Oryza sativa Japonica Group: one gene and its partner. The protein of the gene in region 1 binds, or shares a complex with, the protein of each later gene. Links are inferred from orthologs where the notes say so. Each region holds a gene or a part of one and is shown on either strand. Other genes may lie near its edges.

The links.
Region 2: THO complex subunit 6 (region 1) and THO complex subunit 3 share a complex: the UniProt entries of both Arabidopsis thaliana proteins name them as parts of the THO complex. The link is inferred for Oryza sativa Japonica Group from reciprocal best matches to the Arabidopsis thaliana genes DWA1 and TEX1.

What each region holds. Positions count from the first base shown.
Region 1 is NC_089043.1:16,266,189-16,271,535, reverse strand, and holds the start of THO complex subunit 6, read left to right. Parts: upstream 1-2,109; 5' UTR 2,110-2,164; coding exon 2,165-2,401; intron 2,402-2,491; coding exon 2,492-2,607; intron 2,608-2,702; coding exon 2,703-2,779; intron 2,780-3,025; coding exon 3,026-3,071; intron 3,072-3,194; coding exon 3,195-3,255; intron 3,256-3,423; coding exon 3,424-3,477; intron 3,478-3,646; coding exon 3,647-3,731; intron 3,732-3,833; coding exon of another isoform or gene 3,834-3,837; coding exon 3,838-3,873; intron 3,874-4,180; coding exon 4,181-4,287; intron 4,288-4,372; coding exon 4,373-4,483; intron 4,484-5,163; coding exon 5,164-5,280; intron 5,281-5,347. Other genes in the region: uncharacterized protein, read left to right, coding at 605-810. UniProt on the Arabidopsis thaliana protein: Acts as a component of the THO subcomplex of the TREX complex which is thought to couple mRNA transcription, processing and nuclear export.
Region 2 is NC_089043.1:11,600,492-11,606,150, reverse strand, and holds the start of THO complex subunit 3, read right to left. Parts: upstream 3,738-5,659; 5' UTR 3,561-3,737; coding exon 3,450-3,560; intron 2,797-3,449; coding exon 2,701-2,796; intron 2,181-2,700; coding exon 2,051-2,180; intron 1,686-2,050; coding exon 1,597-1,685; intron 1,059-1,596; coding exon 990-1,058; intron 594-989; coding exon 536-593; intron 449-535; coding exon 337-448; intron 1-336. UniProt on the Arabidopsis thaliana protein: Acts as a component of the THO subcomplex of the TREX complex which is thought to couple mRNA transcription, processing and nuclear export. Contributes to the integrity of the endogenous trans-acting small interfering RNA (ta-siRNA) pathway.

The DNA.
Region 1 (5,347 bases):
TAGAATGACTTACATTGTGAAACGGAGGGAGTACAAAATCTGATCTAGCAATTATGCGCTACAGCATACTCAATTGACAATTGCTAAATTTTAGCTTGATGTTTTTTACCTTGTGTATTGAGTTCCTTGTATAATATGATGGGTCATTAATCATGCATTGGGCATATATCAGAATTTATTTCTCTTTGTTGAAAAAGTCTGGTTTTCTGTAACAAGATTTTTCTGAGATAACACAAACACAAGTTCAAGAATATTAGCATCTTCATTTTTCTCCCTTTTATTGCAAAAACATCCTTTTCAGTAATTGTTTGTCAAATTTGATGCCACCAACCGACTTTAAAACATGATGCAGCTAAATCATGAAACTTTCTGGAAATCCTTTCAGGCATAAAAGTTTAGATATGTATGCCCTAAAAATAGTTTGAATACAAATACTTTGCTTGAATTCCTTCGAAGAATTTGCAGCACACAAAAAAAAATCAACAATGACTTGTCAGCTCTTTGTGTGTGATATTCATGCATGATGGTCAGATTCTTTTATGCATTGATTAACCTTATCTTCCTGTCTAATGATTATGATACACACCATTACAAAATTGTGTAGACCTGCATAAGGACTCAAAGGATGAAAGCAAGGTGTCAATGAACAAAATAGAGACCCACAAGAATGAAACTCATGGTACAAGCGATGATATAAATGAGAATACACCAGTTGAGAGAGTTAAAGGTCCAAATGTGTTTGAGCGTGCCAAGGAAGAGATTGAAGCTATTGTTGAAGCCTTCCACCCAAAGAAGGGATCTGACAAGTGAAGATTGAGATGTTCTGTTGCCTCTGTCTGCACTTGATGTGAAAACATTGACATGAGTTATTAATAGATCCATGGATGAGTTGTGAGATATCCATCGGCTGGTCTTATTATTGCCAAACTATGGAGTTGTAACTGTTGAATGGTTCATTGTACCACTGATATATATATGAGCAGAGTGTGTATCATGTGTGACATGAAAGTATTACTGTTCTTCAGTGTTTGATTTTAGTGTATGTTGAACTTAGTCCTTTGCATGATATGGTATTTTACTTGCTACCATACATGCAAAAATCTTTTGAGGTGCATAAATAAAGAGAGAGTCAATTGCTGTACAATTTTATAACCTTATGCTAAGCCTGTGGTTTGGGTTCAACATGCTTCACAAAATAACAGCATTTCCTTAGTGAAACAAGACAGAAACGCGAGATATGAACGATATGATACCTCAAACCCCATGTTCTTTGAAAAATAAAATTTTGAGTTAAATGTTGGTGTTGCTACACCTAGTAGTATAGAGTCTTGAAAAAAATTCCTCTCTTTTGATTTGTGTGGTTTCAAACGCTTCATCTAATTGATCATTCCTGTTATTTTCCTATCCATAAGATTTGAGGGAACTATTTCGAAGGATCCTTTCTCAAGACTCTAAACGGTGTGATTTTCTTAAAACTTTTTGTATAAATTTCTTAGAATACTGTTCTAATATTTTTTTTTAACTTTATACTCCATCCGTATTTTAATGTATGACGCCGTTGAATTTTTGACAAACGTTTGACCTATCGTCTTATTCAAAAAATTTATGTAATTATCATTTATTTTATTGTGACTTGATTTATCATCAAATGTTCTTTAAGCATGATATAAGTATTTTTATATTCGTATAAAAAATTTGAATAAGATGAATGGTCAAACGTTGGTTAAAAAGTCAACGGCGTCATACATTAAAATACGGAGGGAGTAACATTTATTTAATTTGTTTGTTCCCTCGAATAATTATCGCAACATTACGCGAAGCAACAACTCAAATAGATATTTCATATTATTTTATCAATGAATAAGATCTCGTCGTTGGCTTCTCATCACAAAAAAAATAAATATAAATTTATTAGAATATTGTTTTAACCTATTTTTTAAAACTTTATAACAGTTATTTTATTTGTCTGTACCCTCAAATAATTATTACAATACTGTACAAAAACAAATCAAATAGGGATTTCATATTATATTTTTTAATAATGAATAGATCTGGCCGTTGGTTTCTGATCTAAAGGCCCAGCCCAACCAGCCGCTGTCTCTTCCCCCCACTCCTCGACTCGCTCTCGCTTCCGAAGCAGCGGCGGCGGCGGCGGCGAGGCGAGATGGCGGCGGCGGCGTTGGCGGGGATGGACGCGCGGGGGTGGGACGAGGCGGCGTACAGGCGGGGCATCCTGCGGGAGCGGGACCTCTCCTGCCGCACCCTCTTCCGCGCCGTCTTCTTCGACCACCACGACGACGACCCCGACGTCCTCCTCGCCGCCGCCTCCAGCGACGGCTCCCTCGCCTCCTTCTCCCTCTCCTCCTGCATCTCCTCCTCCTCCTCCCATCCCACCCCACAGGTTCGTTCGTTCCCCACACCCGCTCCATGTGCCGCGTCCTCGTGCGCAGCTAAGGTGTTCGATCTTTTGTTTTGATTTGATTGGATTCAGACCCACCCGGATGCCGCGGTCTCTCTGGTTGATCCCGTCTGCATCGTCCAAGCGCACAGTGGCCCGGCCTACGACGTCAGGTTCTACCCGGATTCGCAGCAGCCGCTGCTCTTCAGGTGAATTGCTGTGCTGCTGCTCGTCTTCTCGGTGGCCGTTTTTGTTCAGGTGACATGGCATGACATTTGGCGACGTGATCCGTTGGTTGTGGCAGCGGCGGGGATGACGGGCGCCTTCGGGGATGGAGATGGCACGAGATGCAGAGCTGCCTTGTGCCGCTATCTCTGCAAGGTGCTGCAAAAGAACCCTCACTTCTTACTAGGATTGACTTGGTTAATTAGTTTGGTGTGTGCTTTACCTAGAAGTTCTACCTGTACTTGCTTGCGCACACCCCACAAAGAAAAGGCTAAATTTTTAACAAAGATGTAAAACATTTTGCAAGTCCCATTTCCTTTTCTAGTGCTCTAGTGCATGTTTTTTTTGTGGGGCTAATGCATGTTGTTTAATAGGTTACTTTGTCATTGCTTTTCTTTCCAGGGGATCATTTGGAGCCAGTACTTGATTTGGTGAACCCTCAGCATGAGTAAGTATTCTGTGAAAAAGGACATACATCTGATAATCATTTGACATATCGTTTATTCTAGAGAAATATGCACTTGCACTCTCATCCTCCATCTTTTCAGAGCTTTTGTTTTCGATTTTGTAGGGGTCCTTGGGGTGCTCGCTCTCCAATACCTGAAAACAACGCCATTGCGATTAACAAACAGGTCAACACCAGAAAGTCTGCATTTTCACTTCATCCAAAGAAGCAAAATAATCTCTTGTGTGCATTTTTGTTCATCGTGTATATTATATAGAAATGATGCATATTGTTACTTGCTTAAAAAAAGATATCTTATTCAGTTATTCTTTCTCATCATTCTTCTTCGCAACAGGAAGGATCTGTTTATGCAGCGGCCGGGGATGCATGTGCTTATTGCTGGGATGTGGTATGTATTTTCTTGAGGTAAATGCAATATATAGAAGTCCTGAGCTACATGGAAGGAACTACAGATTTCTTATGATTCATGTGGCACAGGCTTCCATAATTTTCTATTTTCTGTGTGCCTGCTTGAGAAAATATCTGATAGTAGGTTTTACAATGTCTTGTTCTTTCAGGAGAGTGGTAAATGTAAAATGACCTTCAAGGGACATACTGACTATTTGCACAGCATTGCAGTCCGCGAAGCGAACCGCCAGGTTGGTTTGTTATTATTGTACTGATGTAGTCCAATACCATTTTCCCATAGATGTCTTGCCTTCATTTTGTAGTAACTTTTAGTTAATAGAGCCTTTCCTTTTTCAGGTAGTTACAGGATCAGAGGATGGCACAGCCCGTATCTGGGGTGAGCAGTGCTTTTGATAGGATAATTTTGTCTTGTACTTGAAGTGTGCCTTCTCATGTTCATCCTGTTCTAACTGGTCATTTTGTATATCTGCTCGTTGATTCAAGCAAAGAAAAAGCACCAACTAGCTATTTGTCTTTTTGTACTCTTTAATTCACATCTGGTGATCTGGTCACAGGTCACATCATATTCACAAAATTTATCCTCTCTCTTATGAGTTTACCTTCAGACAGGTTTAGAAAGATTTGGCACTACATGGAAATCCATAAAAAGGCATTCTCTTATTTCTGCTCTTTGTGCACTGCAGATTGCAGAAGTGGAAAGTGCACTCAGGTTATACGTCCGGTGAAAAACAAGATTTTTGAGGGGTCATGGGTCAGTTGTGTTGCCATTGATGCAAGTGAAAGCTGGCTGGTAGGATGCACTTCAAGCTGATATAACAATGTGTTATGCATCATGTATTTTACAGTTATTATTATCTTGGTCCTATTTTTCCCAGGCTTGTGGTACTTCTAGTGGTATATCAGTTTGGAGCCTTCTTTCAAATGAGTGCATCTTTAATGTGGATTGCCATGCTCCTGTTCAAGATTTGCTGTTTGACAGAAACCAAGTAAGTCTATCTATTCGTCATGTTCAAGCTAGAGTTTAGCAAACCAGTAAAATTGCCCATGGTTAGAAATGGCTCATCTTGTATTTCAAAGATGGGCTGGCAAAAAATTTAGGACGGATCATTCCATTCTTTAGTCTTTGTGAGTTTAACAAATGCTATACCTGTAGTAAATTAGTGTTCCCCTAGTCAATTATTTCCATTAACAAGTCATATGATAGTTCCACAAGTGCATGATTTATCTATTTAACCAATGCCCTTTCTAAATTTTTTTATGCATAATTGTTTGCCAAATGAAAGTTTGCATAATTGTGTGGATATGAAATTATTATCAGATAATCTCTCAGATATGCACAGAAAATGCAATAAATTATTTCCTGATGATTTATGACATGGTTGCCAAAATTTGAAGCTTTGTGATGTTATTGTTGGAGAGAAACAGAATAAAATCAAAAGCTTTTGCTTCCAAACAAATATAAGAGTGACTCTTCAGCCAACTAGTTATTATTCCTGCAAGGAAAGCTTTTTATTATTGTCTGCTCACATCTATTAGAGATTTACCAAAGCAATGTTGAGTCTGGCGATAGACAATAGAGCAGCACGAAGGATGCATTGTTTCCCAACTCTTGTGGTTTAGGAATTATCAACTGTTTGTTTTCTTATACTCCATTTTCACCATTCAGATCTTAGCAGTCGGTGCTGAACCTCTGCTCTCTCGTTTCTCTATCAATGGGACTCTTCTTTCACAAATCAAGTGTGCTCCTCACTCAGCATTTTCTGTCTCCATACATTCTTCAGGGGTATGTCTGTCTGTCTCTTGATTCTCATTTTGAAATGACTTGGGTATCTGTTTCACCCTACTTCTGG
Region 2 (5,659 bases), about 4.7 Mb from region 1:
TTCTTTTTTTTACATATACCAGTATCACTATCAACTGTCAAAAGACCGAGATAGAATACAACATTAGTAATACCCAAAATATAGTATGTCAAATAACTTCACTCATGCCTATGCTTTATATTACCTTGAAATAAAAAAAATCGTTAACTACATAAAACAACTAGCATCAGTATAAGGCATTAAGAGAATTAGAGTTCAAAGCGAAGTCAAACAGCATATAGAGAACCTAATGATTATAGCATAAAGTTCAAAAGATAATGTAGTTACAATGAAATGTCATTGGCTGAGATGTGAGTTGATGTTGAACAAATGAGCGAAGACAGAAAAAATCATCACCTATCAAGGGGATCCATTCCAATGCAATAACAACCCGCTGTATGAGCATTCAATTTGCCAACCACATGAAGGGTGTCATCAAGGGAAGGATCACCAAATACCTCAACATTTCCTACATAAACAGCAAACAATGTAATTACACTGATACCAACTGGTGTGATATTGAAACTTAAAACAACATATGGGTTTTGTATCTTACCAAGTCCAGTAGTGATGAAGAATAAATCTCCAGTTTTGTTCCATGCAATCTCATTTATCTGAGGAACAACAAATCAATAATTTACTTCAGAAAAGTTAACTGATCTGAGGAGCTATATGATTCATTTTTATCAGTAGCAGGTGTACGGGCATTTAGCTAGTTGAAATAGAAAATTTACAAAACTGCAACATAAGTAATGCAGCAAATGAAATTAAAGTACATCGAATAGTTAGGTAATTCACACTCAGTAGTCAGTACTAATTCAAATACCAGCAGGCAATTTTCCTGTTCCAGACAAAGATGCACATGCTGCCGACTTATGCCCACTCTACTTTTTCTCAAAAGGTATATGACTATATGTGCATGTTCATTCAGAGCAGCGAAAGATTCCAAAAGGAAGAAGAAAATTGCTAGAAGAATGTTTCAACAATTCAAACCTTCAAGTGGAAAGTACCTCATAATTAAACTTAAATTTGTGAAGGGCTTTTAGCTTCCGAACATCCACTATTGTCAACTCATCCTCCTGCAAATCATAGTGACAGCTGTTACTACACTTGTACAATTTTATAAAACTAGAACTCACAAAGTAAACACATTGGTGTACGCGGGACCTTGCGAACTAACTTGTAAACTTTATAAAAATAGGTTTACTACAATTATTATAAAATTTACACACCACTCCCCAGTCCCCATGCTCAATAACACTTTACTAACTTTGCATAGCAAAAAAAGTAAATAATTCCATCTAATTTAGGATCAATATGTATATATTCAAGTGTGTCCATACTGAGCTATGTTGTATTGATACTTATACAGAGAGCATGTCAAACACAAGAATGAACATTGCAATTTAGATGCTAATTTGCCAAATAACTCATCACTCAATCTAATATAAATCAGATTATAGTTACACATTTCTCTTTGGAAAGAATTTTATAAATTCCTTTCAAAATATTGTAACCCTCTTCTGGCATGATATATGCAAATCAAAACCAGTTCCTTAGTCATAAATGACTACCGTTCTTGAAGTTAACAGGGATAACAGCCTAGGCAATACATACCTTGTTTCCAACAGCTATTTGAGTACCACCATGTTTATAAGTGATATTGATGTTTTCTCCACTAAGTTCGACGACTTGACATTTTCCACCTGGAAAAGAACACGTCAAACAGTTTGAGAAATAGCGGGTCAAATAAATAATATAATTTTAAAAGGCAAACTGCAGGCCCAAATCTTGTAGAGTTATAAATAGAGAATCAAAAGTATGATGTACAATCCTATGAAAAAAATCGAAGTACAACTAAAAAAATTCTGAAACTAACTTTCAGGTAGAGTCACTACACAAAAGAATAAGACATCTTGTCTGGTAACAACAAGTTCATTGTAAATGGAACATAGGGATTGAACAAAGTGACAAAAAGGGATTCATCAATTTCAGAGAGAAGCTGAGAATGCTGAACACAACTGTGGATATCTTAGTTCTTTAACCTTCAAAGATGAAGGGAACCACTTACTCCGTGCATCCCAGAGGCGAATTGACTTGTCAGCAGCTGCTGTAGCAACTGTATCAGGATGCTTCGGATCCCAGCAGAGCTGATCTACACAATCTGTGTGGCCTTTCAATTCAATGTCTTTAACCTTGGACTGTGCAATATAAAAACCCTAATCAGCACAGTACTGACTTGGTACTTCCAGGGAAATAGAAACCATCTGGGGTTTTTTCCCCTCCTACGTTCCAACCAAAAATGTCTTAGTGTTCTCAAAACAATATAATTTAGCTTAGAATTTATTTTCCTCAAAACCGCAGGAGGGCTGCGCTTCCTTTCATTAAGAAGAAGAAATAAGTACAACTGAGGGATCCAAAAGAACCCCTAGCTAAGAAATCATTCACAATTTCACATTAAATAGCTCAAACATATGTCTCAGAGACACAGGCTATGGTATGCTTAAGTGTGATTACTGTCTGAGTTTCTATAATTTTAAATTATACAGCGGGAGATATTTCCAATTAATCATCATGCTTATCTTTCAAATTTATAGAAATGTTCATAAAAAAAGGGTGACAGTTATTCATAGTGAATGACAATAAATGCGTTTATCTAATAATTCCATAATAACAATGAAGGTTATTTTGTTTGCAATCAGGAAAGGAGAGAATGTTTACATGGCCATGGGGATCGATACTCCATACACGTGCAGTATGATCAATAGAGCCTGAAGCAAGCTTCATGCCTAGGCAGTTCCATGCTACAGAGTGCACCTAACAGTAAAACAAAAGATCAGAATTATACAAAATTTAAGGCTGATTATGTATGTAAGATAGATAAAAAAGAAGGCAAAAAGCGACAGAACCAGTTAAATGCTGCACCTCCATGTGTGGAAGGATTATTTAGAAAAACAAGAAACAGAATTCAAGAAAGAAACAGAGAAATATCGTTGTACTATGATTCTTTCTGCAAGTAAGATTTTTTTTTCCCTTTGAATTCTTCCCCTCAGAGGAGTAGCAACTTTACAAAGTCAGACAAGAAGTCCCTTTTCGTGAAACCAAATTCCTTCAAAAATTAGGAGTAATTATGACCAGGAATCATATTTGACAATGCGCTCATTCACCAGCTCCCAGAAGGAAAGCAACCAACCAAAGCTTCATTCAATCTCAACATGGCTTAGCCCTAGAGCAAAAGAATCAGCATATATACGGCATGAACGCGAGGAATCAATCACTATATCCTGCTCTAGAATTAGAAACAAAACCGTACGTGTGAACCAAAGATGGATGCATTTTCGTCCTAATTTTTGCTTGTAACATCCGGATTTTAGGGCTTCCCCCTCGCAGGACTTTTGAGGGTTTAGGACCTCATGAGAAAAAAACTTATCCCCGCGTAGGATTGGTGAGGGGGGAATCGAAAAGGTTACCTTCTTCTTGTGGCCGAAATACTCCCTCGACACCAGGTTCTTCAGGTTCATCCCCGGCGTCGAGCTTCCGCCACCGCCGCCCCGCCGTCTGTCGTCTTCTTTCCCCTCCATTGTCCCCGCGGACTGGGGCACGGGTCTGGTTTTGCTATTCCCCACTCACCGCGTCACGAGGCGCAAGGCGGCGGCGGCGGTGGCGGTGGCGGCGGCGGCGGGCGCGAGACGGAGGAGGGAGAGCCGGGGACGGCGTCGGCGGGGAAGAGGAGAGGGTTTTCGCAGAAACGTCCTTCTACTTTTTTGTTTATTCATGCCACAAGTTCATGCGTTATCCTTACCATGGAGCCATGGACACATCCTTTGGTTTTTGTTTAATTGAATCCATGCCATTGTAAATATACCGATAAATGTTATTACAATTCGTCTTTTTTAATTGTGACATTGAAATTTTATAAAATTAGAACCATGCCACTATAGTAATATTTTCCATCCATCTTCGTCTTCTTAGATTCATCTTTCCCCTCTTTTTTTTTCTCATCTCTCTCCACCACCTCTTTGGAGGGGACAGCCGCTGCGGCTGTTGGCAACTTTTTGTGACAAGTCGACAATTACGATCGCAGCACCTAAACGCCTTGCGGTGATATGGAGTCGCCAACCACCTCGATCTAGCCAAACGGCCAAATCAAGATGGGTTTTGTAGAAAAACAGCTAAACCGGCTAGCGGAGCCGATTTAGAGATCAAAAATCAGCCTCTAAGCCGATTTAGATCGATATGAGGATAACTAACCTGTCTCATAGGCAATACGGAAGGTTTTCAGGACAAATCTACAAAGAGGTGTCGCACTCTCGCAGCGGCGGCGGACGGTTTACGGCGCAAACCGACAAAGATGGATTAAAACTAGGGTAAAATAGAAAACATGGTAAAAGAACGATTCAAGTAAATTGTATTCGGGGGTTTTACAATGAACCGGCCTTGTCCCTTAAATAGGGGTTGGTCTTACCCTCTACAGGCCCTTCTCCATATCCAACTCGGGATAGAAACCAAAGGAAACACGAAACCTACCTTCCCAGGCAAGGAAACCCGAGACCCGACGAAAACAAACTCGGACTCGGACCCTGACGGTTTGACCGCCCACATACCTGCGGTCAGACCGGCCCTACTAGACGGTCAGACCGCCCACACACCTGTGGTCTAACCGGCCCTGTGAAGGAAACCCGTCACTTTCCAAACTTTGGCAATTTTCCTCTATTTCGTCCATAGGTGCCAAATTTGGGTGTAAACACATGCCCCCCTGCCTTTTTTGTAAACATACGTGAACCTAAAAGCATAGAACATGTTATGTCAGGGTGATAATCCAATTACCGCCCATAGGACTTCCTAAGCATCTTGCCAAATGCTCGGGAAATATTTCTTCAAGTATTTCCCATTAATTGCTCTCTGAAAACACCGTCTTGAAGTGTCTTCATCTCCTTCAAAGTCTTTAAACGCTTGTCGATGACGTCTTTAAAATTGTTTCCCATCAAGGTCTTGTAATCTTCAACCGACAAGTCGTCTTGCTTGAAATACCGAAGAGAGCCAAGATTTACCCCAACTGGCAAAACGACAATTTCAACAATGTTTTATTACTCAACTCGGCTTATCCATTAGCCTGAGCGTAGTAAAGAGAAGAACTCATCAACTTAATAGCATAAGATTCGGCAAAACTTCTCACTCCGTACAAGTAATATTCTCGAGCGGCACGGCTTCGGCCCACTTAGTGAAGTAATCCATTGCAACTAGCACGAACCAACGCCCTTTTGATGACGAAGGATAAATTTGACCAATGAAATCCAAAGCTCAACCTCAGAACGGCCATACTTTAATGATAGGATTCAACACAGCGGTAGGCGCTAATTGAACATTGCCGATCCGTTAACAAGCTTCACTCCCTCTATAACATTTGAAACAATCATCAATTATTTTCGGCCAATGAAACCACACTCTCCTAAGCAACCAATTTATCTTACGGGCCGATTGATGAATTTCACAAATCCCTTCATGTACTACTCTCCTAGCAACTTTAAACTGATCATTATCTAAGTAATACTCCATCTATTTTTCGGCGATATAATATTTGAGCGCTTGCCGCCGAATCTTCTGATCAACCTTAAGTGTAGGATCTTCAAATATCTAATCGAAGGAATTCTCCAAGCTATTTCTAACTCATGGGCACAAA